Sus scrofa: one gene and its partners. The protein of the gene in region 4 interacts with the protein of the main gene of each other region in a pairwise test. Links are inferred from orthologs where the notes say so. Each region holds a gene or a part of one and is shown on either strand. Other genes may lie near its edges. The genes, in order: VAMP2, RPL9, UBXN4, VCP, FAF2, UBXN2A and FAM104A.

Region 1 (4,084 bases), on a different chromosome or scaffold from region 4:
CTCCCCCACACAGCTGGGAAATGACACCTCTGGTGACAGAGCCTGGCCCAGGCTTCTGCTGGGAGGGGGTGGGGTGCTGCATGGGGGAGGTTGTCACACCCGGAGGCCCTGGGAGGCCTGGGTGGGGGAGGGAGGAAGCCAGCTCCTGTTTGTCTCAGAGACCAAGGCCACCAGCCCCCTCTGCCCACTTCCAGGGTTGCAGTGAGCACCCTCGCTCCAGGGCCACTAGCCACCCCCCCCCCAAGGTACCACCTTCTTTACTCTTTAGGCTGATCTGACCTACCCCACAGGACAGGCAGCTCACCTGTTCTCAGCCTGTCCTCTCTGAGGGGACCAGTCCTGCTGAGAATGAGCAGAGGGGGTGTGTGAACTGCTGGGTCTGTTTGGAGGATCTAAACAGAGACAAGTCAGGGATGGAAGGGGCCGGGGATAATCTCCTACCATGTCCCGGATCAAGCCATTTAACAAATACCCCTGTAGTGTCTAGTATGTAATCTATTTGGGGTCCAGAGACAGGCAAAGGGCTATCCAAGGTCACTCCCAGGAGGCAGGGACTGCCTTTGCCTCCTTACTGTCCTGCCCCCCCAGGGAAAAAACAAAACGTAAAAGCTAAAGTTCTGTCCTTTCGCCTGGGGTCAGAGGCTGAGCCCTCCCGCTGCAGGGTAGCTGATCCAACTCTGGGTCAGAGCCAGGTTTGGGCCAGTCTGCAGGCGCACCTGAAGCAGCGCCACGGGGCAGCCTCTTGCCTTCCTCCTAGGCCCCTAAGCTTGCCTCTTGTCGGTCAGGCCCAGGCTGCCAAGGACCCCTGGTCTGAACCCCAGCTGTGAGGAGAGAGTTCCTTGTCCCAGACCTCCTTTGAGATCTCCACCTGCGGGCAAGCTTTGGGGACCAGCTGCCACCACTCCACCTCAGCCGCGGGGTCTCGCCTGTCTGCATCGCCCCGGAACCTGCACGTGACCCTTCTGATTTCCCATCTCCCGCCCGTATCTGAAATGCCGAAGACCGGTCAACAGGCGTTGGGACCGTGGGGGCGGGCTGAGACCTGGGTCGGGGTGGGGTGCGGACGGGTCTCACGGAGGAGGTGTTTGGGGCCGAGGGGTGCCATCAGGGCCGGGCCATGGGTGTGGGTAGGCCGCGGCCCCCAGGCTCGGGCCGTGGAGGGAGAGGCCGGGGGCCCCGCCTCGCGGGCCCCGCCGCGGGCGGGCTGCGCTCCCCGCGCCCCGCCCCCACGCCCCGCCCCCGCGGCCCGGCTGCCGCCGAGTGGCCCGCGGCGCCCCGCCCCCGCCCGCAGTGCCCGGATGTGGGTGACGTGCGGCCGCCATCTTCCCGTCCCGGGCAGCCAGCGCCAGTCGGAGCCAGCGCGAGCCGCCGCCGCCGCCACCGCCACCCCTGCTGCTGCCAAGTCCTCCGCCCGCTGCCCCCGCCATGTGAGTCGGCCGCCTGCGCCCGCCCCGGCTGCCCGCGCCGGCCGCCGCCCCTGCGTCCGAGCCTGGGAAGGGCTCGGGGTCCAGCCCGCGCCCCCCGCGCGCCCGGAGGCCAGGCCGGCGCCCGTGACGGCGCGCGGGCAGCCGGAGAGCCCCGGGTCCCCGGCCGGCCGCGCGGGCGCTGGCGCCGGAGGGAGCAGACGCAGGGTCCGCCCGCCCCGCCCCTGTCATCGCTGCCGCCTTTCATTGCGGGTCCCCCCGACCGTGGCTGTGAGGTCGCCCTCATTTGACAGGCGGGGAAACTGAGGCCCGGAGGGGGGAGGGGGCCTCCCTCAAGGTCACGCGGCCGCTTGCCCGCGGGGCCGGGCGAAGGCCATGGCTCCCTTCGGGTGGCTCTCCTCCCGAGAAGGAGGAAGGGGGGCACGGATGGATGGACAGACGGATGGGCGGAGCCCTCGCTGCGGGGCCGAGGGCTCCAGGGCCTGGATCTTAATCCGTCGGTGCCCCTCAGGTCGGCAACCGCTGCGACCGCACCCCCCGCCGCCCCAGCTGGGGAGGGAGGCCCCCCCGCGCCCCCTCCAAACCTCACCAGTAACAGGAGACTGCAGCAGACCCAGGCCCAGGTGGATGAGGTGAGTTGTGGGGGGGGCAGAGGCAGTGGGAACGACCCTGAGGATGGCAAAGCGGTCTGGGGGTCCATCGTGGGTTGAGGGTGATGGCAGTTCACGTTTTCGCGTTCGGAGACAAAAACATACCAAGCCGCGTTCCTGACGTCGTGTAATTGGGAGGGCCGTGGGGTGTTAGCCTTGCTGGCCTGCGCCGTTTCACCCTGGGCGGGTGTGCTCTCGTGACCCGCAGGCTGCTTGAGGCTCGGTAAATAGAGGGTGCTGCTGTGATATGAGATGTCTGGCCACCAGCATGCCTCTGACGTGTGCTCCTTGCATGTCCCCAGGTGTGCTGGGCATGCTCCGCATATGTTGTTGCATGTCAGCCAGACAGCCCTAGGGTGCATGTCTCGTACGTGGGCTCCTGGCTGAGGAGAGCCCTTTGAGATGGGTCTCCCCCCCCCATCCCCGCGCCCTTCCCGCAGGTGGTGGACATTATGAGGGTGAACGTGGACAAGGTCCTGGAGCGGGACCAGAAGCTGTCGGAACTGGACGACCGCGCCGACGCACTCCAGGCGGGGGCCTCCCAGTTTGAAACAAGTGCAGCCAAGCTCAAGCGCAAATATTGGTGGAAAAACCTCAAGGTAAGGGTGGAGGCCGGAGGAGTGGTGGGTGGCCGGGAGTGTCCCCGCCTGTCTCCCTGACCGGCCCTTCTCGCCCCCAGATGATGATCATCTTGGGAGTGATTTGCGCCATCATCCTCATCATCATCATTGGTGAGTCGGGCGGGAGTGGCCGGGCCCCTTTGTTGGAGAGGTTTCCCCCCTGACGTCTGGGTTTTGAAGGTCATTAACCTCGTTTTTACTATTCAGCAAAGAGCACACAGAGCTGCCAATAGCAGTTCTGATTCATCTAGCACCCCAAACCTCAATGTTGTTGAGCTTGTACTTTGCCTGGTTCTGGGCAATTTCTGGTAAGATTTTTGGAAACCGGAAAGCCGGTGGAGATCTCCACTGCTCCCTTGAGGACCCTTTGGGTTTGTCCAGTATGGGAACCCTGGAATTGGGGTGTGGGGGAGCAGCGAAGACTCAGGGGCTTGAGAAATGGCTAGGAAGCCAACCACCCTATTGGTTGAGAGCTGTGGTCTCAGAGGCTCCGAGGATTCGGGGTCTGTGGCCCCAAAGCCATACCGTGACGTTGAGGAGACCTTGAAGCTGACCTGTGCAGCTTCCTTGCTTTACAGATGGAGGATCTGAGACCAGGAGGGGAAGGGACGGTCAGCCAGCTGGGAGGTGGGGAAGGTGGGAGCAGGGCCGGGCCTGACACGCTGCTTTCTCTCTTTCTCTTTCTTTCTCCCCTCTTCTTCCTTCTCTTTCCCTCTCTGCAGTTTACTTCAGCTCTTAAACCCCTGAGGAGCCTGCCCTGCCCAGAGAAGGGCCTCTCCCCCCCATCCCCAGCCGCTCCTCCACCTCTCAGCCATATCTTCCAGCCCCCTCCTCCCCCGGGATCCGCGTGTGTGTGTCGTGTGTGTGCCCCCTTGTAAATAGCCAGCTGTTATTTATACATATATAATATTATATATATTTGGTCTGTTTGTAGTTTTATTACTAGAAGATTTTTCCGGTTGTCCTTAACACCCCTTCCTGAGGTTCCCATCGCCTCCTTTTGCCCCTCCTCTCCTCTCCTTTCCCTCTCTTCCTCACCGGCCCCAACTCCCTTCATTTGCATCTGCTATGCAATAGTCCCTCTTCCTCCCCTCCTTCCCTTGGATTTAGCTGATCCTTCCTCCCGCCCTGGTCTTCCCCATACACCCCCTCACCCCACCCCACCCCCCGACAAAAAAAAAAAAAAGAAAAGCAGCTGTCCAGGACTCCCTAGGTGCATCTTCTTTGCATCATTGGGAGGCTCTGAGACTGGTCCCTTTTGGTCCTAAGAATCCCAAGGTCTTCTGGGAGCTTCCAGCATGTTAATTAGCATCATTTGCATACTGACATCCCTTTTGGTTTCCTTTTTTTCTCCATCAGGCTTCTGTTCATTCTTTCAACTTGTGTTTCT
Region 2 (4,284 bases), on a different chromosome or scaffold from region 4:
GAAAATAATGCACAATGAAGGAATAGGACATTAAAATTACCTCAAAATTTCAATTACCTTTCTCCTTTCTGGCGTTTTAGGTTTCCTTTATAGTCATCCCAGGTGCTCTTGTCTGCAAGATCACCAGATAGAAAATCTTGAAGGTCTGGTCCATTCTGTAAAAATTCCTTTTTTTTATCTGGCAAGGAACTTATTGCTCTGACTGGACTGCATAAATATCTTCCAAATACCTACAGAAAGAGTTCATTGTGACATTTATTTAGGGGGCTTTGGAATAACTTAGTATTAAACTCGTTTAATACCTAAAAGGATGGGTAAAGCCACAGAACTGATTCAGAAATTATGTTAATCTATTTACGAGCTCAATGTAAGGAGCTCAGAATCTGAAATTAAAGATGACCCAAGGAGAACAAACCAAACCCAAAGGAGAATGGGAGCTACAGCTTTGAATTTTCTATTCCTGACTTGAGTCAAGTATGTTTAAATGAAATTTGAAATTAATCTCTCTGCTTTGGGCTTGAATAAGAATACCTGCTAAAACACGGAGGTAGTTCTCAGCTGATTTCAGAGAAGTGGAAGAAGGGAAACTAAACCTAATGTTTTAATTTTCTTGGTTATACTGTGTGTGAACAAGGAAGTCACTCATGTATTTGTTGACCATAAGAAGCCATCGGTTTCTAGATTTGAACACATACATGTACAAGACAGACAAAACACCATAAAATTCAAGAGGTAGTACTGTTAAAGCAAAAGAACCTTCAACTATTAAAAAAAAAAAAAAAAAAAAAAAAGAGTGCCTATTAGGATGCTGCACGATAGCTACTGTACTTGCCCAGGTCTCTCGCTCAAGCCTGGAGCACAGACTTGGGTTTTAATCGCCCAAAGTGGTGTCTAGTACACAGGAGACACCAACACCAAGTAGTAATTTGGAGTTTCATTGCAGCGCTTCTATAGTGCTCCAATAAATACAAGAGTACAAATCATTGCATTGATAGCAGGAAAAAAGGTCTCAGAGCGCGGGCCACAGACTTACAAAAAAACCAGTATCAGGTCTTAACTTCATGACCATGTCAGAATTAAATGAGACGCTATACGAAAAATGTTTAGAACAGTACCTGGCTAGAAGTAAACGCCGGGTAAGCGCTGGCATTATCGGGCACTTTCAGGGATGGGAACCCCCACCCCACGCCCGCTCCCTTTTCGCCCCGCCGCTCACCCGGGGGCATACAGTGCGGACGGCGCCCCGGCAGCGTAGAGCCATCCTGCACTTTTTTTTTCTGGCAGGGAGGAACAATCACTAATTCCCGGGAAAAGAGAAGGACACACCGTCGCTCCACTTATGACAAACAACCTGAGCCAACACTGACCCGGTGGAACCTGCGCTGCTCTACGATTGGCTGCTTTAGCCTCGTGGTGTCGCGCGCTTATGACGCCATACGCAGGACCCTTACGTACTACAAAAGCGTGATGACGAAAGACGCTCTCTCTTTGCCGCATCTACTGCGAGGTAAGGTGGATTCTGTATTCGGTGGGCCTTGGGAATCTGAAGGCATCGGCTTTGGGAAAGCCAGAGGTGCGGGTGTGGCCCTCGGAAACCGTGTCTTGTTTGTCTCCCTGCGCGGCGAGCGTCATATGAGTCTGGTGGCGATGGGGTTCGAGCCTTGTATTGGGCTTTTAGGCCTACTGCCGCCCTTCAGCCTTGCCGGGATGGCGCCGACTTGATAGGACTTCCCAGAGCTGCGCTGACCGGGAGTTCGCCCGCTGGGTTTTTAATAACTGTTTAGGAGCTGCTCCTTCCAAGCCAAGGCGCAGCTGGGGCCGTTTCCGGGATTAGTCCTCTGTATCCTCCCCGAGATTTTTGCCTGCCGGTCTCTGGTAGGAGTGGAGTTCTGTGCAAGGTAGTTCGGCCCAAAACAAATCCTGTGCGACCTTCTTACCCAAGTGTTTGTGTTTCAGAATGAAGACCATTCTCAGCAATCAGACTGTCGACATTCCAGAAAATGGTAGGAGACTTGGTGCTTGCTTTTTTCATATGTTTTTACTGCGTGCGTTCTAATTTGTTTCGATGCCTCACGAGTATGTTTCTTTCATAGTCGACATCACACTAAAAGGACGCACAGTCATTGTGAAGGGCCCCAGAGGCACTCTGAGGAGGGACTTCAACCACATCAATGTAGAACTCAGTCTCCTTGGAAAGAAAAAGAAGAGGGTGAGTTTTGTTTAATCACCTCAGTTTGTTTGGAAAGTTGTAATTTAAGAATATCAAGTTGTTTTAAAAACTACAGAATTGAGCAGCAACATGGATGGAATAGAGACTCATACCAAGTGAGGTACGTTAGAGAAAGACATACCATTTGATGGATAATTTTTTCTCTGGAGTCTAACAGCACCAAAGAATTTACCTACAGAAAAGAAACTCTTGGACTTGGGGAACAGACTATTGGTTCTAGTCTGTTCTAGTCTAGGCGGAGGGAGTGGGATGGACTGGGAGTTTGGGGTTAGTAGATGCAAACATTGCATTTGGAGTGGATAAGCAATGAGATCCTGCTGTACAGCATAGGGAACTACAGTCACTTGTGATGGAACATGAAGGAGGATAATGTGAGAAAAGGAATGAATATTTATATGTATGAATGAGTGACTTTAAAGCAGAAGTTGATGGAATGTTGTAAGTCAACCATAATAGAAGAAATAAAAACTTTTGAGAAATTATGGAATTGAGGTTCAATGTTTTATCTTATAATTTAGTGTCCAAAATTGTAACTAGTTTTTTTTTTTGTTGTCGGTGCTTTAGTGAAATTGGAAAACCAAAGTAAACTGGGTTATAAACCTCAGTACTGGTAATATTTATTAAATAGCAGGCCTTAATACTGTTAGAAATTGGGTTTATTTTTCTTGATTGTTTTGTAAGGATCATAGTGGTGCAGCAGAGTTCTTTTGAACCTGGTATTTTAGCTTTCCAGAAGTGAAGTTTGATGCAACTTGTACAAAACTTTCTGGGTTGTTCCTCTGTGAAAGTGTATACTTCTAATGTATAGTAACAAAAACCGTTAATTGCTGAGGGCTTTGTGGTTGCTTTTTTTTTTTGTAATTAGGACAAATACTAGAATCTAGAGTAATTACTGTGGATAAATGGACCTTATTTCAAGGCTACTTAATACTGGAAAGAATTTTCTGAAGTTTTTGTTCTGTTACAGCTCCGGGTTGACAAATGGTGGGGAAATAGAAAGGAACTGGCAACTGTTCGCACCATCTGTAGTCATGTACAGAATATGATCAAGGGTGTTACACTGGTAAGCAGATTAATCAGACTTCTTGTCTTAGAAGGGGGAGGTTTGTCAGCTATCTTTATGTATGCAACATAAATGTCTATTGTAGAAAATACTTTGTGCGAGTAACTTATACTTGCATATAACTTAGCGGCTGTAGTATTTTGGAAAAGGTGATCTTGGCAAATGTGTTAGGTATTCCTGGGTCTTATGATAAAGGGAGATACATAAGTCTAGACCAGATGGTCTTGATAATACGCTGATTATATATATATTTGTTTTACCCGAAAGATAACATTCACAATTTCAGGGGGGTTTTTAATAGAAAATGTTAACACATAGAATGGTTGGTTTCTTGTCTTATGCCTCTCACCACCAGGGTATCTTGTGGGAATTAGGGAAAGATTAAGTCTTATTTCTGAGCTTTCAGTCTTTAAGGTAAAGTTGATTCTGGATATTTGCTGGAGTGTTTCTGTTTCAGCCTTTCTAGAGCGCAATCTGATAGCGGCACCCTGTACGCAACTCCATTATAAGCCTTTCAGGCCATGTCTCCCCTTGTGTTTCCAGTCTTTGTTTGCGGGGGGCGGCGGTGGTGTCTTGATATTCTCAATTCTGGCCCTCTGGCATACCATAGTAATTCAGTATGTTAGCCTAATGCCCAAGATGAAGGGCTTTAGAGTTATACTTTAATAGGAGGCTAGCATTGTTCACCACGGGCAAAGGAGGTAGTAAAATATCTGCTTCCTTAGGAGCTTTGCAGTCCATTGAGGAGACAGAAACAAATGTATTTAAAATTGTTCTGAGGGAGTTCCCTTTGTGATTCAGCAGTTACAGACCGAACTAGTGTCCATGAGGATGTGGGTTCTATCCCTGGCCTTGCTCAGTGGGTTAAGGATCTGGCGTTGCTGTGGCTGTGGTGTAGACTGGCAGGTGCAGCCATAAAAAGCAAAAAATAAATAAAATTGCTGTGAAGCTTTGGTGTGGGTGATAGTTTAAAAAAATGACAATGATGGGA
Region 3 (4,288 bases), on a different chromosome or scaffold from region 4:
CTATGAATGATTCTTCTCTCTCTCTCTTTTTTTTTTTTTTTTTTTTTTTTTTTTTTGTCTTTTTAGGGCCCCACCCATAGCATATGGAAGTTTCCAGGCTAGGAGTTGAATCAGAGCTGTAGCTGCTGGCCTACACCACAGCCACAGCAACATGGGATCCGAGCCATGTCTGGGACCTACATCACAGCTCAAGACAACATGGGATCCTTAACTCACTGAGTGAGCCCCAGGGATCAAATCCACACCCTCATGGATACTAGTCAGGTTTGTTACTGCTGAGCCACAGCAGGAACTCTCCTAATATTTAATTCTAACACTAGGAATAATTAATCGTTCCACTGCAAGGGTATATACATTAATCGAATTTTAAGGAATCCATTTAAAGTTGATGTTAAAGATCAACTCTAACTCTTCCTGAGCAACAGTGTCCTATATAAGCAGCAACTATCTGTAAGATTACTGTCTATAATCAGCATTATGTTTGTTTATAATAACACTATATGTGAGGCCTGGTTGGAAAAAAGTAAATAAAAATTGGAATGTTAGCTATTTTTAGGTTAAATATTTGTAGAAAATGGGTATTTTCGGATGTAGCCCCTCCTTAGCCCTGCAAAGATTGTCAAATGGTTGTACTGCTGGAGAAGAAATTTAAGTCATGTAGAATGTACAATATAAGAGCGTATGCAACTGTAAATAAACCATACATGCCTTTAGCCAATAGTTATTAGAGACCATATACTTTCATGAAAGTATTAAATATGGATCGGTTTTCATTTTAATGACAACCTACCAGAAAGTGCCATATCTTGATTATAATACATTATCACATATTGTCATAAACAAAATTCTTCTTTTGTAGTACAATGAAAAGTAGCTGGAAAATAAATCATTATCTATTCTCTGGCTTCAACTTACTGTAGAAAGCAACTGTGGCAACAGCATAGCTAAGTGTTATGAGGTTTGAAACGATCTCTAACCAATGACTAGGAAATTACTCAAGGTCTGCATCGAACCAATACCTCCCCTGTACCACACTCTGTATGGTATTACAAAAGGTTCTTTTCTTCAAGGTTGAGCTGATAAATTAAGATCAAAAGAAATCAAAGCCTTGTCGTGAATCCCCACAAAGCCCACTTAGTCCCTTACCCAGAGACACCCACGCTATCTCACAATGGTCACTAATAGTAATACAGAATTACATCGTCCCAAAGGCAGGGTTCCACTCAGGGCGGGGACGATTTCCTCCACTTTCAAGGTCTCAATAAAGCCAAGAATGGCATCTCTCGGCGAGAAGCACTACTTCTCCTCTTTATAGATTGTGAAGTGACTCACTACCGCCCCTTTAGCGGTGCGCGAGAAACCAGTTATATTTTCCACAGAGTTAAAGGGACCTAGCCTAAGAAGCCTACAATTCCCATCATGCCTTAGGAAGGCGCCGCCGACGCGCCTTAGCTACTAGTCATCCTTCCTACTACCTCCGTCCACTTCCGGGACTGCCGGGCCTGCGGCCTTGTAGGATAGCGCACCCACCGACTTGCCAACAAGACAAGTCACCGGGGTGCCTAGACGACGGCGACGTGTGGTGTCACGTGTCGCGGGGCGCTCCTCGTCTGCGCGCTTGCGCGCGTCCCAGAGGGCCTCTGACCGGCTTGCGCGCCTGTGCGGGGCCGGAGGCGGGGGGCGGACCAGCTGCGGCTGCGGAGGCCGCGGGGCCCGAGGACGGAGAGGGCGGGGTCAGCTCCGGGACCGCGGCGACAACACACCAAACGAGCGATAGGGCCCGAGGGCAACGATGCTGTGGTTTCAGGGCGCCATTCCGGCCGCCATCGCATCAGCCAAGAGGAGCGGCGCGGTCTTCGTGGTGTTCGTGGCAGGTGAAAGAGGCGAGGGCCCGAGATGTGGCCGGGTCATTCCCCACCCCGCCCCGGCCTACGTCCAACCCCAGAAGCCCCCTGCCTTTCGTCCTCGTGCTGAGGGGCCCGGCCTGTCGGTGCTGACTGGCTTCTCAGCGCCTCCCCCGTCCGTTTGGAGCTCACCGGGCTTTGCCCCCACCACCGGCTTCTCCCGGCCTTGTCCGGAGAGCGCGCCTAGCCCCGCCGTCACCTCTCTGTGCGGGGCGAGGGGAAGAGCGGAGCAGGCCCTCGCCCGCCCTGCCCCGCAGCTCCCCGCCGAGCCTTACTCCGGGCCGCCTGCGGAGTTGTTGCTCACAGACCCCCACCGCCCCCGTTGGAGATTTCTGTCTCCGAGGACCCGCTTCGGGAAACTTTAAAGCCGCTGTCATTAGTGTTGAGGTGCGGGGAGAGACAGGCCATTAGCCAGGCAGGCAGTTTGTAACTAGTTGTGGACTGCCAGGAAGAAAGCTGTGTCATAGGTAATCCACAAAGAGAAACCACCTGATGTCACGTTCCTGAGACGCAAACTTTTCAGGTCTCTATAGGTTTGACTTTTTAAACAATGTTATGGGGGGTGGGGTGGAGAATCTAATCTTTTTCTTATTTTAACCATTTGTTTAGAAGAAGTAGATACAGAGGCTTTGGCTATCTTTGTTGTCTTCCTAGTTTCATAGCTGCAGTTTCAGGTGTACTGACTCATTTATCCTAAGTTGCTCTGGGATTTATTACTGAAATCTTCTATTTTTCAGTAAACAGATGCTTCTGTGGTTTTGTTGATCCTCATTATGTAAACCAAGTCAGTGTTTGTGACTACCGTTAATTCGAGGTGTATTATTTCAACTATTTGTGTTTAATAGCAGTTTGGTCATTATTAACTCATGACTTGGGAAAATAGATAATAGCCCTATAGCTTTATGCACTACAGTGAAGACGAAGTTGCTGAAACGTGAGTTTCACTTAACATTAAAGTTGGAATTTCAGATTGTTTTAAATTCTGCTAAAATTTTAGTGCAGTGCTATTAATTAGAAGAACTTGGGTAGTTTAGATTCTCTTATGCTGTTTTTGTTTGTTTTTGGCGGCGCTTGTGGCATGTGAAAGTTCCAGGGCCAGGGGTCAAACCCCTGCCAGACCACAGTGTGACAATGCCAGATCCTTACCCTCTAGTCCACCAGGGAACTTACACTATTATCCTGTGTTAGTGTTGTATTTCACATAAATGTCATAAACGTATAAGGAATTAAGTGGATAAATAGGAAAAGGAAAATTAAATGATACTTAGTATGCTTTAAGAGAACAGTTACGTTTTGTGACATTTTATGTTGTGTTTTCCCATATAATCTCAATTGATCCTTGCAGTTGGTGGAACAAGATTATACCTATTTTATAGACAAGGAAATATATTCACAGTAAAGTGATATGTAAGAGGGTCAGAAAAAGAATTTATATCTTTTGACAGATTTTATTTTTTAGCAACTTCAAAAAAAGAGTATCTTTTTTGTTTCTGAAAGAAAAAACCGAACAGTTGTAGACTCTAGGTAGTTAATGAAATTAGTGTACAAATCAGGAAACCTAGGATTATAGTAGTCATATTTTTAAGTGAAAAACGCTTTTTTGGGGGGTCTATTTTGGGGCTGCACCCGAAGCATATGGAGGTTCCCAGGCTAGGGGTCAAATCTAAGCTACAGCTGCTGGCCTACACCATAGCCACAGCAACTGCAGATCCGAGCTGCATCTGCAAACTACCCCACAGCTCACAGCAACACCAGATCCTTAATGCACTGAGCAAGGCCAAGGATCAAACCTGTGTCCTCATGGATGCTTGTCAGATTAGTTTCCACTGAGGGAGATGGGAACTCTGAAAAACACATTTGATGGTGTCCAAATGTTCCTAGGAGGCACTTTTGGGTTAACCAGTTTTGTTTGTTTGTTTGTTTTTACTTTTTTTTAGGGCTGCACCGTGGCATATGGAAGTTCCCAGGCTAGGGGTCGAATTGGAACTGTAGCTGCTGGCCTACACCACAGCAGCGTCAGGTCTGATCCGCACCTTCGACCTACACCACAGCTCACGGCAATGCCGGATCCTTAACCCACTGACCAAGGCCAGGGATTGAACCTGCATCCTCATGGATGCTAGTCAGATTTGTTTCCCCTGAGCCATGGGAACTCCAGGTTAACCAGTTAATTTGAAAGAAGAAATAGTAGATTTAATTAGTGGAAATTTGGACACCCATTTGTAAATAGTAGTCCTAATTATTACAATAGAAATATAGTTATAGGTCTTTGGGGTTTTGTGTGTGTGTGTGTGTGTATATATATATACATATATATATGAGTTAATAATGACTAATTCCCAATTGCTTTAATGACTGTTGAACATTTGCAGAAAGACCCTTGG
Region 4 (4,130 bases):
ACATGGGGCAAATCAAAATCCTCTCACCCAAATGAAGGTTGCCTAAGTCTGAACTCAGTTTACATTGTCTAAACAGGAGTTCCCTTATAGCACAGAGGGTTAAGGATCTGGTGTTGTCACTGCAGTGGTCTGGGTCACTGCTATGGCACAGGTTTGAACCCTGGCCTGTCCACATGCCAAAAGCACAGCCAAAATAAATAAATAAAATTTGTCTAAATGGTTTTTATCATTTCCTAGAAGCTAAGATCACTCTCCTGACACCTATTTCTCACTTGCCTCATCTCCAACCTTCATAACGAGTCACAGAGGGCTCTCCTTTTGAAGAGCTACCTTTTCTTAGTAGGGCTCAGGAAAACTTGCGCATTAACCAAAAGGAGGCGAGCCAATGGATGATGTAAAGAAATAATAAATAAAAAAGAGACCATTCCACTCAAAAAATTAACAAGTATATGTACATGTCAGGCACTGTTCTAGGATCTGGGGATTTTCAGTCAACAAAACAAGACAAAACAGTATTTCTATTGGAAATATTGCAAGAAAAAAAAGATGCCTATGCTTTAAAATACCAGGTAAGAAATTATGAGGCATTTACATCTTTTGGTCTTGATACACTCAAAAGAAATACAAATCCCATTCACCTAAAAAAAAATTGTAACCTTTCTGCTGACCTTCTCACATAGGTTGCCCCTTTACTCATTTGCTTTAAACTAGTTTCCAAAAGTGGCATTTCCTCAGCTTAAACTTGCCTCCCCAGCGCAAAAGTGTTAGGCACAATGCTGCAGAGTAGGCATACTCTTCCAATGCTTATCAACAAACACCCTGGAGAGCAAACATGGTCAATGTGAGAGTCGAGGGCAATTTAAATCCATCCATTCTCCCTCTCCTCCATGCATCAAAATACCCTCTAAGGGCTGTCCATCTTCCAGTTGGATGTATAGGATTAGGGTTAGAGAAATAAAATACCAGTTGCCTCTGGTCATCAGAGTTTGTATTCTAACCCCAAAGCTGTATTCTAGGAAAACCTCCAATCTGCCTACCACTCCTGAGCCCAGCACTGGAGATGACTGATATGTTCTGCCCTTAAAGTAAAGACCTTTAATTCTACATCTGTCCCCTGAGATCGAAAGAGGTAACCTCTAAACAAGGGAAGTCAGCTTGATCATGGGCTGACAACAGTCCTGGAGGCTCTTTGGGGACCTTCCTCTGGTTTCCTGCATGAGTCAAGGCCCTCTTCCAGGACCCCAGTGGGCCACAGGGGGCGTGGACAGAGTTCAGTTAAGAGTCATCAAGATGACCTAGAGATAAACTGTCTATGATGCCAGGTTCTAAGAATTTTCGACTTTTAGTACTGGAAACTAAAGAGGGTACTTTAAGTATTAATAAGCAGCCCTTTTCAATAGGCGCCTCAGTAATAAATACTTCACCTCGGTTCAGAAACTTGAAAAAAAGGAACACCTCAAAAAACTGAACTTTCAAGTCTGGAAGGTGCTTTGCATAGAAGAGTTTCCATAGGATGGCAGTGTTCTCCTCCCCCACCCCAACTCCCCCAGTATCTAAAGCTCTTGATTCTAAAATGGGCAGAGGTAGCCAGGTTTTATCTGATGCTTTCCTGAGGAATAGAGAGCTCAGGATTTCTCCACATAGGTAAAAGGCTGTGTGTGTTTGAGAAGTTAGGGCAACTCTAACCTTCACACCACAAAAGGCTGAAATCTAGAAAGGCCCACAAAATACGAACTGAGATTCGAATTTTAGCAAGAACCTAATGAACCCCACTTCCTAACATTATTGAAAACTGACTATAGCCTTCCCATATGAATAAAACAGGAATAATAAAGTATGAAGAAGGCCAGATGGGAAAGGCAGGGCCCGCCCTCTCGGTAACAGCCTCTCACTACTCAGGTCGTAGAGGATGCCAACCACGGGCCAGACCCACCCGGATCCAAAAGGGCCGTCGGGAGCTCCCCTGAGCTCGCCCGGCCTTGCACTGCTCCGGCCTCCTCCTCGGTCTCGGTCTCCCGGCTCCTAAGGCCTTCACGTGGCTCAAAGTCCACGCCCACCGGGCCCAGTTAGGGCGTCAGGCCCAAGTGGCCTGCACTCTCCGGGGACCAAAGGCCTACAACGGGTGGCAGACTGGATCGCAGGTGGACACCCCAAGGCCCCGGGGCTCCGTGCCGGCAGCGTGGGCCCTCAGACCTCACTAGGACAGGACAGCCGTTCGAGAGGAGCCAATCAGGCCGCCCCGGGCCTGCATGACACAGCACGATCCGGCCCAGGCCCCGACCCAGGCCCAAAGCAAGCCCCGCCTAGGGGGCGCACGGGTGCGCGGCCGGGCCCAGCGGGGTCCGCGGCTCCTCATTCGCCCCCTTCCTCTCCTTCCGTCTCCCTCCTTCCCTGTCTCCACCTCCTAGACGCGCCCACAAGCAGGCCTGGCCGGGCCTACCCAACGCAGGGGATCTCCCAGTGCGCGCACTCGCAGCGGGAGGACGGGGGGCGCGCACACACTCACTCAGCTCCGGAGGCCATGGCGCGCGCTTCTCCCGGCCAACGGCTGTGGCGGCCCGCAGGTAACGGCTACGAAGGGTGGCAGGCGACCGACTCGGCCGGTGCTCGGCTCTCCCGGGCGGAGGGTGAGCGGCAACGACAAACCCGCAGACGGCCTCCCTTTCGCTTCCTCCCAGAGGCACCAGGGCGGTAAGCGGGCGGGGGACGCTAGCGCCTGATCCGCGAGGGGGCAGCGGCAGCGACAACTCAAACGACGGCTGCAGACGCTTTGCGAAGACTGAGGCGAGAAGAGCCGAATCATCGGAAGGAGAGGTGCTCACAACTCAGCCAATCAGCGCCTGCCCTGGGTACTCCCGCCCGCCTCTCCGTGCCTCCTCTCCCCAGCAACCCGCGGACCAGAGCCAATCAGGAAATTCGCTTGCGGCCCGGCTCCCGCCTCAGGGATGCAACACGCCTAGTAACGCCACGTCAATTGGCCGCAACGCTACGCTTCCTCGACGGATTGGGACTCTCGACCAATCAACGAAAGGAATGGGGCCAGATCGACTGGCGAAAGGAGAGCCTTTAACCCTGGGAGGCTGACTCTCCCACTTGGCTCCAGTTCATTGGCTCCTGAGTTTATCCGGCTAGAAGAACCTGGCACAATGGATTGAACCCTTGTATTAGTCTAGTCCTTTTGTAGTGATAACCCACACACCCATTTTCTTCCAAAACCTGAGTATGCACTCTAACCCCTCTCCTTGCTCCTTCAAAACGCTGGCTCCAGCCACCTCTACTCCGGACTCTTTGGCTAGCATTCCAGCTCTTAATCCACTCTTCCCTGTTGTCATTACACCCTCTGGTAATCCTAATCCCACAAGCTTTATAGTTCCGCAGGGCTTGGAGGTATGTGCTCCTTCTTACCATTGGGTATTAATATTAATAGCTATGCAAAGGACACTCAATTCCGAAGAGGAATCAAAAGACAACCACAGGTAGTTCTCTTGTGGCTCCGCAGGTTAAATGACCCACGTTATAACTGCAGGGGCCTGGGTCACTGCAGTGGCAGAGGTTCGATCCCCGGACCAGGAACTTCCGCATGCCTACCATGGGCGAGGCCAAAAAAAAAAAAAAAAGGAAAAAAAAATAGCAACCGCAGAACACAAACAGATTCAATAGAGCCTAAAGCAGAAGAAAAAAAAAAAAAAAACATTGCTGAGACTTGATGACCTTGGACCCAAAATGCCAGCTTGCCCTGACTATATTCAACAGGCAGCTTTGGTGGTATGGTGACTTAATTCATCCTTTACCCTCTAACCATAGAGACACATTTGACTAAGACCATCGAATCCCAAATTTGGATTAGGGAGGGGGTGAGGTGTCATTCTAACAGACTCAGAGGTCTGCTTGTCCCTTCCTTCTAAGAATCACCTTCCAGACCTACCTAACTCCACTCATTCTGTCGCCTCACCTAGGATCCTGGGTTTGCAGGGGTACTCGCCTTTTTGGCAAGAAGGACTAAAGGCACTGATTCCTGAGTAAGGATTCCTGTAGCCCTTTCTCCTGAGGATCATAAGATAGATGATATTGGGAGAGGGCATCTTAGACAACCCGCACTCAGCTGAATCAGCCAGCTGTGAGCCTTCCCA
Region 5 (3,500 bases), on a different chromosome or scaffold from region 4:
ACCCACTGCACCACAAGAAAACGCCCCTCCTAGTTTCTTAATCTTTGTGTTGTTATACACTTGTGACCCTATTTCCCAGGTAATCTGATTAAAGTAGGATAGGCTTTTCTGGTTGAGTGTAGCTGTCATGATGATGCTGGGGCAGGCCACAGAGTTTAAGAACAATATCTGTTTGATGAAAGGAAAAGGACCTACAAAGACTCCGGCTACTGCTTAGTATAATTTTTCCCCGTGTCAGGGGTCAAGCCCACAAGTCTCAGTCTTATGCTACTGATGATGATCTCTACCATCATCTTCTGTCTTTTCTTCATCTTTTTTCTTTTCTTCTTATCCAATCCCTTCCTTACTTCTTTTTCCTAAGTCCCACCCACCCTCCCCAATAAGAAGGGGTTAGCTTTTCTGTTACAGAGGAGTTTTAAAAATTGGTCTTCCAAATAACAAAGATTTTACCATAACAGAGTTTTGCCTATGTTTTTTATAACAGTTTGAAAGAAGAGATTTTTAAGCTTCTATAAAAATCTATAAAAGGAGTTCCCGTTGTGGCACAGTGGAAACAAACCCAACCAGTATCCACAACGATGCAGATTAAATCCCTGGCCTCGCTCAGTGGGTTGGGGATCTGGCACTGCCATGAGCCATGGTGTAGGCTGCAGACACCACTTGGATCTGGTGTTGCTATGGCTGTGGCATAGGCCAGCAGCTGCAGCTCCGATATGACCCCTAGACCGGGAACTTCCATATGCCGCAGGTGTGGCCCTAAAAAAGGGCAAAAAACAAAAAACAAAACATAAAAAAAAAACCCACTATCAAAACCTCCTTCTATCCACCACCGCTCACTCCCAAAAATCATATTAGAATGGCAAAACATACTGCAGGATCTTATCTGATGTTTAAAAACCAACTAGGAGAGTTCTGTGCTGGCTCAGTGGTGAAGCATCCGGTGTTGCCACTACTGAGGCAGAGGTTCAAACCCTGGCCCAGGAACTTTCACATGCCATGGGGTCGGTCAAAAAAAAAAAAAGTCAATTAAAAAAACAATTAAGAGTAAAGATTCAGATTCTAGGATGTAGACAAAACATTTGCTGCATCTTTAGTCCTCAGCATCTAGCGCAATGCCTGATATGCTAGTATAGACTCAAAAAGTTGCTGAGGAGTTCATGCCATGGCACAGTGGGTTAAGAATCCGACTGCAGGGAGTTCCTGTTGAGGCACAGAGGAAATAATCCGACCAAGAACCATGAGGTTTCAGGTTTGGTCCCTGGCCTCATTCAGCAGGTTAAGGATCCGGCATTGCCGTAAGCTATGGTTTAGTTCGAAGATGCAGCTCGGATCCTGGGTTGCTGTGGCTGTGGTGCAGGCTGGCAGCTACAGCTCTGATTTGACCCCTAGCCTGGGAACTTCCATATGCTGCAGGTGGGGATATATATAAAAAAAGAAGTTGCTGCAAAGCAAGTACATTTTCCTTCACTGAATGCCTTTATGTCTTATACTGACTTCTAAAGATATTCACCTCCAGTTAAAAGTTAAAGTCAGCAAAGATCTGAGGTTTCTGAATCCCTATCAGCACTCAACAACAAACTCATTGTCCAAGAAGCTCTGTTAAAATTGCTGATAGAGTTTCCGCTGTGATGCAATGGGATGAGTGGTGTCTTGGGAGTGCTGGGACACAGGTTTGATCTCTGGCCCGGCACCAAAGGGTTAAGGATCTGGTGATGCTGCAGCTGCAGCTTAGGTTGTAACTGTGGCCTGGATCTGATCCCTGGCCCAGGAACTCCATATGCTACGGGGCGGCCAAAAATGGGAAAAAAAAAATGCTGATGAAAGAATAAACTCTTTAGTAAAAAGCCTATTAGGAGTAAAGGCAAGTTGGAATTCCCTGGTGGCTCAGCAGGTTAAGGATACAGCATTATCACTGCTGTGGTGTGACCACAATGGGTTAAGGATCTGGTGTTGTCACAGCTGCAGCTTAGGTTGTGACTATGGCTTGGATCTAATCTCTGGCCCAGGAACTTCCCAATGCTGTGAGCAGAGCCAAGAACAACCGCCACCACCACAAATACCAACCAAACAGGCTGTGGCAATAGTTACCTGTAATGGATGGGCTAGAGTTTGACATGTCTGAGCTTGCTCCAAACTTGCGAATAACTGTGTGATAAAATCGTGGGCCAGTGACTTACACTGCCTGATACTGTTTCCTAAACCATAACGTGGAGATAATACGATCCCCGTCTCCCAGGATTGCTGAGAGGATCTGTAGCAACTCTGCCACAGAATATTCATGCAATAGATGGCATGTCTTTCCAGATTACTCCAAAGATAGCCCAAACATCTCAATGGGGCAAAAGAAACACGACTTACCCCTGTATCCCTCAGGTTTGTTTGTGGAGCATGCCCAGAAGAGCATTCTCGTGTTTATTAGTGAAATAACTTCAGGTGCACATAGTGTGTTGCTGTGGAAAGGGATGAAAGGGACATGAGAAGAACTTGCTTACTACAAACTATCAGCAGATAAGATGAGAAAAGAGAAAAAAAAAATTCCACCTACCGACAGAACTCATCAGAGTCCTGGTGATCATCTCCATGAAGATAAACCAAAAGAAAGCGGAGTTCCCGTTTGGCATCATTAAGTGCCTGTGAGAAAAAGAAGATTACTAATTATTATAACTGACTTGAACTTTTAATTAGGTTAAGGGTCCTAATGGATACAGCTACGTATTTAGGAAGAAAAGAAATGAAGGAAAAAGCTAAGCAAGGAAACCAGAAAATTGCCAGGCTCCTACCTCACACCCTTGGTATTTCTCCCCCTTTAAAGTTCATGCTAACAAGCTTCGATGAAAAGGTTTTAGTATTGTTAAGATTTAAATTATATCAGGCACATAAAAGTAGACAGGCTGACAGAAAAAGTCTCCCCTGGAAAAAAAAAAAAAAATCACAGAAAAGTCAGCTCTTCCCATAGCCTAAAGGAAGATAAAAACAGGATACTCTGACCTGAAAAGGCAGATGAGAATTTTGCCACTTTCTGGCTATAATATCTTAGTAAAAAAAAACAAACAAAAAAACCTGCAAAGACAAGCCTGATCCCTGGCTACGTACCAAGTAGGGATGAGGGACTGACGCATCCTAAAGAGCGTGGGGTTTAAAAGATCTTCAAAGACAAGGCTAGTGTCCAAGATTCCTGTGTATGATTTTACATTTGCCAAATCCCAAGCTCATTACAAATCAATTAAGATTTCCTGACTGACCAATGGTGGTCTGCTCTCAGGATCACAGAAAGAGGGGTATGAGAGGTGCCCACCTCATTCACATATGTATCTCTAGCACTGAGCACAACATGTGGCATACAGTATGTGCTTAATGCTTGTTCAGTGGGGTGGGAGCAGCCAGTGAGAAAAAGCTGATATGGGAGAATGACAGCAGGAAGCAAAAGTAAGCAATTTTCTCCTTCTCCAGATAGACCCAGGAATCCTGGAGGCTGCAGAACAGAACGATCTTACACCTGG
Region 6 (3,500 bases), on a different chromosome or scaffold from region 4:
CTTTATCTTGAACACAGGAATATATCTACATATTATTTTATCACAATGATGACCCATAATTTTTATATATATATTTAGTTGTTGACAATTTGATTATTTCTTGTTTCCCTCTATAAAAAGATATCTGTAGTTCCCATTGTGTCTCAGCAGCTTAAGGACCCAGTGTTGTCTCCATGAGGGTGGAGATTCAATCCCTGACCTCATTCAGCAGGTTAAGGAGCTAATGTTGCCACAGGTTGTGGTGTAGGCCTGTGGCTGCAGCTCCTATTTGGCGTTTTTGGTTTTGGGGGGGTTCTTTGGGGGTTTTTTTGTTTTTCGTCTTTTTGTTTTTTCTAGGGCTGCACCCACGGCATATGGAGGTTCCCAGGTTAGGGGTCTAATGGGAGCTATATCCACTGGGCTACATCAAAGCCACAGCAATGCGGAATCTGAGCCGTGTCTGCAACCTGTACCACAGCTCACAGCAACACCAGATCCTTAACCCACTGAGTGGGGCCAGGGGTCGAACGTGCATCCTCAAGTATACTAGTCAGGTTCGTAACCACTGAGCCACAATAGGAACTCCTTTAACAGTTCTTTTCTCCATTTTATTGCCGAACTGTGTTGTGTTGTATGGATATACCACATTTAGTTTACTCATTTATCAGCAGACAGACATTGGATTACTTCCACATCTTGGCTGTTACGAATAATGTTGCTATGAACATTTGTGTCCAGACATTTTTGTACGGACATATGTTTTCAGTTCTCTCAGTTCTAGAAATACAAGTGCTATTAACTGTTGTTAGTGTATGTTTGTTGGGGGAAGTTGGGGTTTTTTGTTTGTTTTCATTTTTGGCCGCCCAGAGGCATATGGAGTTCCTGAATCATGGATCAGATCCAAGCCACACTGCAGCTTCAGCTGTTGCACTGCAGCTGTGGCAACACTGGATCCTTAAACCTGCATTGTAGAGCTGCGGAGACTGCTGATCCTGTTGCCCCACAGTGGGAACTCCATTTTTTTGCTTATCTTTAAAATTGGGTTCTTTACCTTGTTGAGTTGTAAAAGTTTTATCTTCTTGGAGTTCCCATCATGGCTCAGTGGTTAATGAATCCAACTAGTATCCACGAGGATGCGGATTCAATCCCTGCCCTTGCTCAGTGGGTTAAGGATCCAGGATTGCCATGAGCTGTGGTGTAGGTCGCAGGTGCGGCGGATCCTGCTGTTGCTGTGGCTGTGGTGTGGGCCATCAGCTATAGCTCCAATTCGACCCCTAGCCTGGGAACCTCCATATGCCATGGGTGTGGACCTAAAAAGACAAAAGAAAAAGAGTTTTATTTTCTTAATGATGTCCTTTGAAGCACAAAAGGTTTTACTTTGATGAAGTCTGATTTATCCTTTTTTTTTCTTTTATTACTTTTGCCTGTGGTGTTCTATCTAAGAAATCATCACTTAATTCAGGGTGCTGAACACAACTCCTGTGTTTTCCTATATTGTTTTGAAAGTTTGACCAGTATCTCCAAGTATTCTTTCAAGATAGATTGCTAGAAAGAAAATTAATGAATAAAAGACATCAATGTTCTTTCAGCTATTGATGCTCATGTTCATGCTTCTGCTTTACTAAAAAGACATACTGAATTAAATTTAGGAGTTCCCGTGGTGGCGCAGTGGTTAACGAATCCGACTAGGACCGTGAGGTTGCGGGTTCAATCCCTGGCCTTGCTCAGTGGGTTAACAATCCGGCGTTGCCATGAGCTGTGGTATAGGTTGCAGACGCGGCTCGGATCCTGTGCTGCTGTGGCTCCGGCATAGGCTGGCGGCTGCAGCTCCGATTCAACCCCTAGCCTGGGAACCTCCATATGCCGCAGCAGCGGCCCAAGAAATGCAAAAAGACAAATAAATAAATAAAAATAAATAATTAAGTTTATATCCCATAGCACTGTCCTTAGCATGTGATTTCATGTATGACATCAATGTAATGGTACAAAGCACTTATTTTGGTCAATCCTTATTTCAGAAGAGTTGATAGTAGTCTATGCCTAACCAACTTTCAGTGTGTACATAAAACATAGGTCTGTATATATGTATATGTACAATGTATGTATAGATTTTTAATTGCTTTATGTTATTTTATTTTTATTTTTTGTCTTTTTAGGGACACACCTGAGGCATATGGAAGTTCTCAGGCTAGGGGTCCAAACAGAGCTATAGCTGCTGGCCTGTGCCACTGCCACAGTAATACCAGATTTGAGCAGTGTCTGTGATCTGCACTACAGCTCACAGCAACTCTGGATCCTCAACCCACTGAGCAATGCCAGGGATCAAACCTGTATCCTCATGGATATTAGTCAGATTCATTACCAGTGAGCCATAGTGAGAACTCTTGGTTTGCTTTAAAAACAAACAAAAAAAAGCAATAGGAGTTCCCGCTGTGGCGCAGCAGAAACGAATCTGACTAGGAACCATGAGGTTTTGGGTTCGATCTCCGGCCTTGCTCAGTGGGTTGAGGATCCGGTGTTGCTGTGAGCTGTGGTGTAGGTCTCAGACACGGCTCGGATCCCGAGTTGCTGTGGCTCTGGCTGGGCAGGCAGCTATAGCTCCAATCAGACCCCTAGCCAGGGAACCTCCCTATGCTGTGGAACAGACAGCAAGACAAAAAATAAAAAGAAGAAGGCAACAGTTTGCAAAGTACTGAATTGTTTGGACAAAATAATTATGTGGAATTTTGCTATATAAAGAGAGAAAATGTAGGAGACACACCTCAAAGTTTTTTTTAATTGGAGTGAGAATGGAATCATGAGGACTAGCACTGTTTTTTTTTACTGTGACTTTCAGTTCTTGTTGCATATAGGATGTTTTTCAGAGAAAGAAAAGGCTTACTAGGGGCTTTACCATTTTGTTTCCTTACTTTCCAAGGGAATTACCTTTAGAATTACAAGGAGTTTTTGATAAAGAGGAGGTGGATGTTAGAGTTGAAGATAAGAAAAATGAAGTGTGTATGTCAACGAAGCCTGTGTTCCAGCCCTTCTCAGGACAGGGTCACAGACTGGGAAGGTGAGTAGGCTCATGCTGTGAGCTTTCCATAAGCAGGGGCTTGACTCAGTAATATTCAGCCAGTCATTATTTTCCCATGTAGACCACATATATAGAATTTATCATTTCACTCGTTGGAAATGAGATTTTTCATGTTAACTTCTATGAAAATTTCCAAGTCACATTCATCTTAGTATAAATTAATACATGCTGGCACTAGACTAAAAAAACCATGGCAATTCTTTTGGTTTTTATCAGTTCAAAGGGGCCTGGCTTATTGAGGACTTTGGGCAAAACTGGGTGGATAAATCATTTTTTTCCCTTGCACCCACCACTTCAGCTTTGCTATTTATGTTACAGAGTGCATAGGCTAGCTTTTGAATATTGAGTTCCGTGTTAGAGTTACCAGTGCCTTCAACATTATGCTTTCTGATCTGTATCTGAATTTTGAGGAGATAAAAATAAAGAAATGCGTGATAAAATTAGT
Region 7 (3,500 bases), on a different chromosome or scaffold from region 4:
TTGCCATTTCTTGGGCCGCTCCCGCGGCATATGGAGGTTCCCAGGCTAGGGGTCGAATCGGAGCTGTAGCCACCGGCCTACGCCAGAGCCACAGCAACACGGGATCCGAGCCACGTCTGCAACTTACACCACAGCTCACAGCAACGCCAGATCGTTAACCCACTGAGCAAGGGCAGGGACCGAACCCGCAACCTCGTGGTTCCTAGTCGGATTCGTTAACCACTGCGCCACGACGGGAACTCCACCAATTTGTTGATAGAAGAATGTTTTAAGGATGAAGTCTGCAAAGAGCCTAGAAAAAGGAGAAAGAAGAACAGGTTAGGGCTTATTCTTAATGCGGTACCTCCTCCAAAGGGGAGGACTTCCAAGAGGCCAAAGAGATCGTTCTGGTACCTTGAGAAATCAACTGATTATTAGGCAGGGATATTTCATGTGACAGTCCCAGAGTTTAATCGAAGTCTTGAAAACCAGGCCATCGTCTTGACAGTTATAGTCTTGTCACTAGAAAGGTATATTTCATCCCTCATTATAAATGTGGAAATTGGACAGCTGAGGACAGGCTTATATATTTAGTTAGACGCAGCAGCCCAAAGCACAGTCATCTGTTGGCACATCGATAAAAGAGGAGTTTGGGGACACACATATTGTCATTTGATGAGTTTCTCTTTCGTGTCAACTGGCTTTACATCAGACATTGTTCTGGAACTGCAGCACATTCCAATGAAAGTTCTCTGGTCATATTAAAATGAAAGTAACAATTTCTTGGTTCAAATCTATGTCATTAGCACATACATTTAATGATTATTAAAACCTGATATTCATCTAGTTTTTTAACCTCCAGGAACTTCAAGATAAGATCTAATCTCCTGGGAGGAAAGTAGGGAGCAGAAGTGGTGATCTTATTTTACAGCTGAGCTGAGCCTTAGGATGGGGTGAATGGTGCAGCCCTCTGCCGGTGGGTTACTGCTCTACAGGTCCTCCGCACACCCATTAGACCATTCCAAGTCTAAGCTGGCTCCATACTCATTAATGAGTAAAGTTAGGTGTATTGAGTGTTGTGGAGTACACAGGATTGAGCTTGGGGTTGTTAACTTAAGTTTTCTCCAATGTCCAGACCTCAACTCAAAGCTTTAGCTACTCACATAGAAATAAAACTGTATAGAAGATACTAGATGTTCAAATTCAGTACTTTCCAGAACGCTCTTTCCCCCTCCAGTTATAGATACTTGAACCTTGAAGAGTTTTCATTATAATAGATTATGCTGCTTTGTATAAATTTGGCCTCTAGCCAGCACTGTCTAATAGAATTTTCTGCAGTGACAGGAGCAGTCTATATCTCTGCTGTCCAGTATAGTTGCCACTAGCTCCGTGTGGCCACTGAGCATTGAAAAGGTGGCCAGAGTGATTAAAGAACTGGATTTTACATTTCATTGAATTTCCTTTGATTTCACTTTAAGTGAACAATATATGAGCAGCTACCCCATCGGACAGCGCAGTTCCATGCCATCTCACTGACCTCCTTTCAGTTATTTCTCTTTTCTAACTGGGATTTCGAAGGCCTGACAACACATGGTTCTTGCATGGAAAACAAACTTTGTCTTTATTGTACATCTTAGAACACTTGATTGAGAAAGATGTGCTATTTTTCTTTAAACCTGAACATTTTAAACAGCTGGTGTTAAAATCTCAAAGTAACAACAGGGAGAAATAATTTATATCATAATACCGGGGTGTAGCCCAAATAATCAAGTTAATGGGTCCAAGAGCAGCCTTTCCAGTGATTGTCTAGAGAAGCCATTTAATACGTTAGAGGGCATAGGGCTTGTGTGTCAACCTGATAATTGGGGAAGAATTAGGGATGAAAGAAAATTAAAGATTAGAAGCTACCATGGACCTCTAATGCTATTTTATTCCTGTGTAGCACCATTTTTATACAGATACAGGCAAAGGCAGTCACTCCCACCTTAGATGTTGTCATATCGACGGGAGTAAAATTAGGTAACTTAGAATTGTAATTTCAGGAAATGTGGGAAAAGATAACCTTAATTAGATTGAAAGCTTAGTCATCAGTGTCTCCCTCCTCTTATTTATTCCCAGTAGGTATTTAAAATTGTCAGGCTCCTTTTCAGAAATTAGTTGGACTCATATAAGCTCAGTCTTACTGCTGCTATTTTATACTTTTGCTCTTTGTGCCCAGTGATGGCATCCTGCCAGTTTTTTTACCTACTGGGTTATCACATGATGATTTATCTTTTTTTCAGGCAAGAGTGCAAATTTATTTGTTGTCAGGTTTTCCAGTTTGAAGGGGCCAAGGGACCAGCTGTTGTATTTTTTTGTCCTCCCTGTGATTTAATTTCAGGAAAAGGAGAAGGAATGGCAGTGAGGAAGACCACCACCTCCCCCCGCAGACCAAAAGGAGTAGTAGAAACGCTGTCTTTCACGATTCCTGGGACACAGAGGTAGGAAGTGTGGCCAAGAGTCTCTGCTGTTTTCATTGTTTGAACTAAAATAACTCAGTTACTTCTGTGTAATTAAAATTTTTCTTTGAATAAAGGAAAGTGATCTCACTTGACTGCAGTGTTTTCAACCTTTTTTTTTTTTTTTTGGAGTCATGGCCTTTTTGAGAAAGCCACACACCCTCTCCCCAGCTAAATGGCTGTCTGTACATATTCATACATACACACTCCAAAATGTGTATGTTACAAGTTTTATGGACCTTTGAAAGCCCATCTTTGAACCCCTACTTGGCATTTCAGAAGCCGGCTGATTTTCTTTTAGTTTATGAACCATTAATTGCCCTAAAGCCAAGTGTGTTTTGGAGTTCTCTGGTGGCCCAGCTAGTTAAGGATCCAGCATTGTCACTTCTGTGGCTATGGTCACTGTTGTGGCAGAGCTTCAATCCCTGGTCCCAGAATTCTGTGTGCTTGTGGGTGTGACCAAAAAAATAAAATGATTCTTCAAGATGTCGATTTTTTTTAAAAGACAAGTGTATTTTGCTGCTTTTATGTCTCTTAAAGGTATGCTTTCCATGATTTTAAGAGAAACTGTCTAAGCATTCAGAATATATAATGTATACATATTCAATATACATGTACATTATATATTCTGAATGCTTTTGTGTTTTTGTTCGCATTATGTGTTCTGTGCGGGAGGCGGAGTGGAGAGGGCATGGGGGAAGAGCCCCTGAACGCCGGTTTCCTGGGTGCTGCAGGTTGCCTCCTGTGCACTGAACATTGGTCTGCAATGGGAAGGGCAGCTGACATTGAAGGATATGCTGTTAGATTATGTGCCTAAGACCTGACCCTTAGCGCTGTTGCCCTAAGAGAGAAACTCCGCAATGGCAAGGATTCCTGAGCCCTGGCCTCATCACTTAAAGCAGAATTCCATAGGTGATAGGTCATAATTCTTGCACAACCAAAACACTGTGTATTTTATTTAGTTTTCAGTAATAGGATTTGACCTATATCAAGTCTTTACCAGAAATCCAAAGTTAACTCCCT

Evidence for each region.
Region 1: the proteins of VCP (region 4) and VAMP2 interact in binary tests that used the Homo sapiens proteins (3 or more experiments, as listed by UniProt). The link is inferred for Sus scrofa from reciprocal best matches to the Homo sapiens genes VCP and VAMP2.
Region 2: the proteins of VCP (region 4) and RPL9 interact in binary tests that used the Homo sapiens proteins (3 or more experiments, as listed by UniProt). The two-hybrid records come from large-scale screens. The link is inferred for Sus scrofa from reciprocal best matches to the Homo sapiens genes VCP and RPL9.
Region 3: the proteins of VCP (region 4) and UBXN4 interact in binary tests that used the Homo sapiens proteins (3 or more experiments, as listed by UniProt). The link is inferred for Sus scrofa from reciprocal best matches to the Homo sapiens genes VCP and UBXN4.
Region 5: the proteins of VCP (region 4) and FAF2 interact in binary tests that used the Homo sapiens proteins (3 or more experiments, as listed by UniProt). The link is inferred for Sus scrofa from reciprocal best matches to the Homo sapiens genes VCP and FAF2.
Region 6: the proteins of VCP (region 4) and UBXN2A interact in binary tests that used the Homo sapiens proteins (3 or more experiments, as listed by UniProt). The link is inferred for Sus scrofa from reciprocal best matches to the Homo sapiens genes VCP and UBXN2A.
Region 7: the proteins of VCP (region 4) and FAM104A interact in binary tests that used the Homo sapiens proteins (3 or more experiments, as listed by UniProt). The link is inferred for Sus scrofa from reciprocal best matches to the Homo sapiens genes VCP and VCF1.

What each region holds. Positions count from the first base shown.
Region 1 is NC_010454.4:53,379,444-53,383,527, reverse strand, and holds the start of VAMP2 (vesicle-associated membrane protein 2), read left to right. Parts: upstream 1-1,284; 5' UTR 1,285-1,425; coding exon 1,426-1,427; intron 1,428-1,935; coding exon 1,936-2,056; intron 2,057-2,514; coding exon 2,515-2,673; intron 2,674-2,753; coding exon 2,754-2,805; intron 2,806-3,416; coding exon 3,417-3,433; 3' UTR 3,434-4,084. UniProt on the Homo sapiens protein: Involved in the targeting and/or fusion of transport vesicles to their target membrane. Major SNARE protein of synaptic vesicles which mediates fusion of synaptic vesicles to release neurotransmitters.
Region 2 is NC_010450.4:30,696,390-30,700,673, reverse strand, and holds the start of RPL9 (60S ribosomal protein L9), read left to right. Parts: upstream 1-1,484; 5' UTR 1,485-1,507; exon of another isoform or gene 1,508-1,573; intron 1,574-1,956; 5' UTR 1,957-1,957; coding exon 1,958-2,003; intron 2,004-2,093; coding exon 2,094-2,209; intron 2,210-3,197; coding exon 3,198-3,293; intron 3,294-4,284. Other genes in the region: LIAS (lipoyl synthase, mitochondrial), read right to left, coding at 58-230, 1,116-1,226.
Region 3 is NC_010457.5:16,203,712-16,207,999, reverse strand, and holds the start of UBXN4 (UBX domain-containing protein 4), read left to right. Parts: upstream 1-1,488; 5' UTR 1,489-1,792; coding exon 1,793-1,874; exon of another isoform or gene 1,875-2,427; intron 2,428-4,288. UniProt on the Homo sapiens protein: Involved in endoplasmic reticulum-associated protein degradation (ERAD). Acts as a platform to recruit both UBQLN1 and VCP to the ER during ERAD.
Region 4 is NC_010443.5:235,866,913-235,871,042, forward strand, and holds the start of VCP (transitional endoplasmic reticulum ATPase), read right to left. Parts: upstream 2,801-4,130; 5' UTR 2,524-2,800; coding exon of another isoform or gene 2,507-2,523; intron 2,301-2,506; exon of another isoform or gene 1,934-2,300; intron 1-1,933. UniProt on the Homo sapiens protein: Necessary for the fragmentation of Golgi stacks during mitosis and for their reassembly after mitosis. Involved in the formation of the transitional endoplasmic reticulum (tER).
Region 5 is NC_010444.4:81,416,273-81,419,772, forward strand, and holds part of FAF2 (FAS-associated factor 2), read right to left. Parts: intron 2,632-3,500; coding exon 2,546-2,631; intron 2,451-2,545; coding exon 2,359-2,450; intron 1-2,358. UniProt on the Homo sapiens protein: Plays an important role in endoplasmic reticulum-associated degradation (ERAD) that mediates ubiquitin-dependent degradation of misfolded endoplasmic reticulum proteins.
Region 6 is NC_010445.4:114,686,686-114,690,185, reverse strand, and holds part of UBXN2A (UBX domain-containing protein 2A), read left to right. Parts: intron 1-2,896; coding exon 2,897-3,034; intron 3,035-3,500. UniProt on the Homo sapiens protein: Acts to repress the ubiquitination and subsequent endoplasmic reticulum-associated degradation of CHRNA3 by the STUB1-VCP-UBXN2A complex in cortical neurons.
Region 7 is NC_010454.4:7,730,741-7,734,240, forward strand, and holds part of FAM104A (protein FAM104A), read left to right. Parts: intron 1-2,359; coding exon 2,360-2,459; intron 2,460-3,500.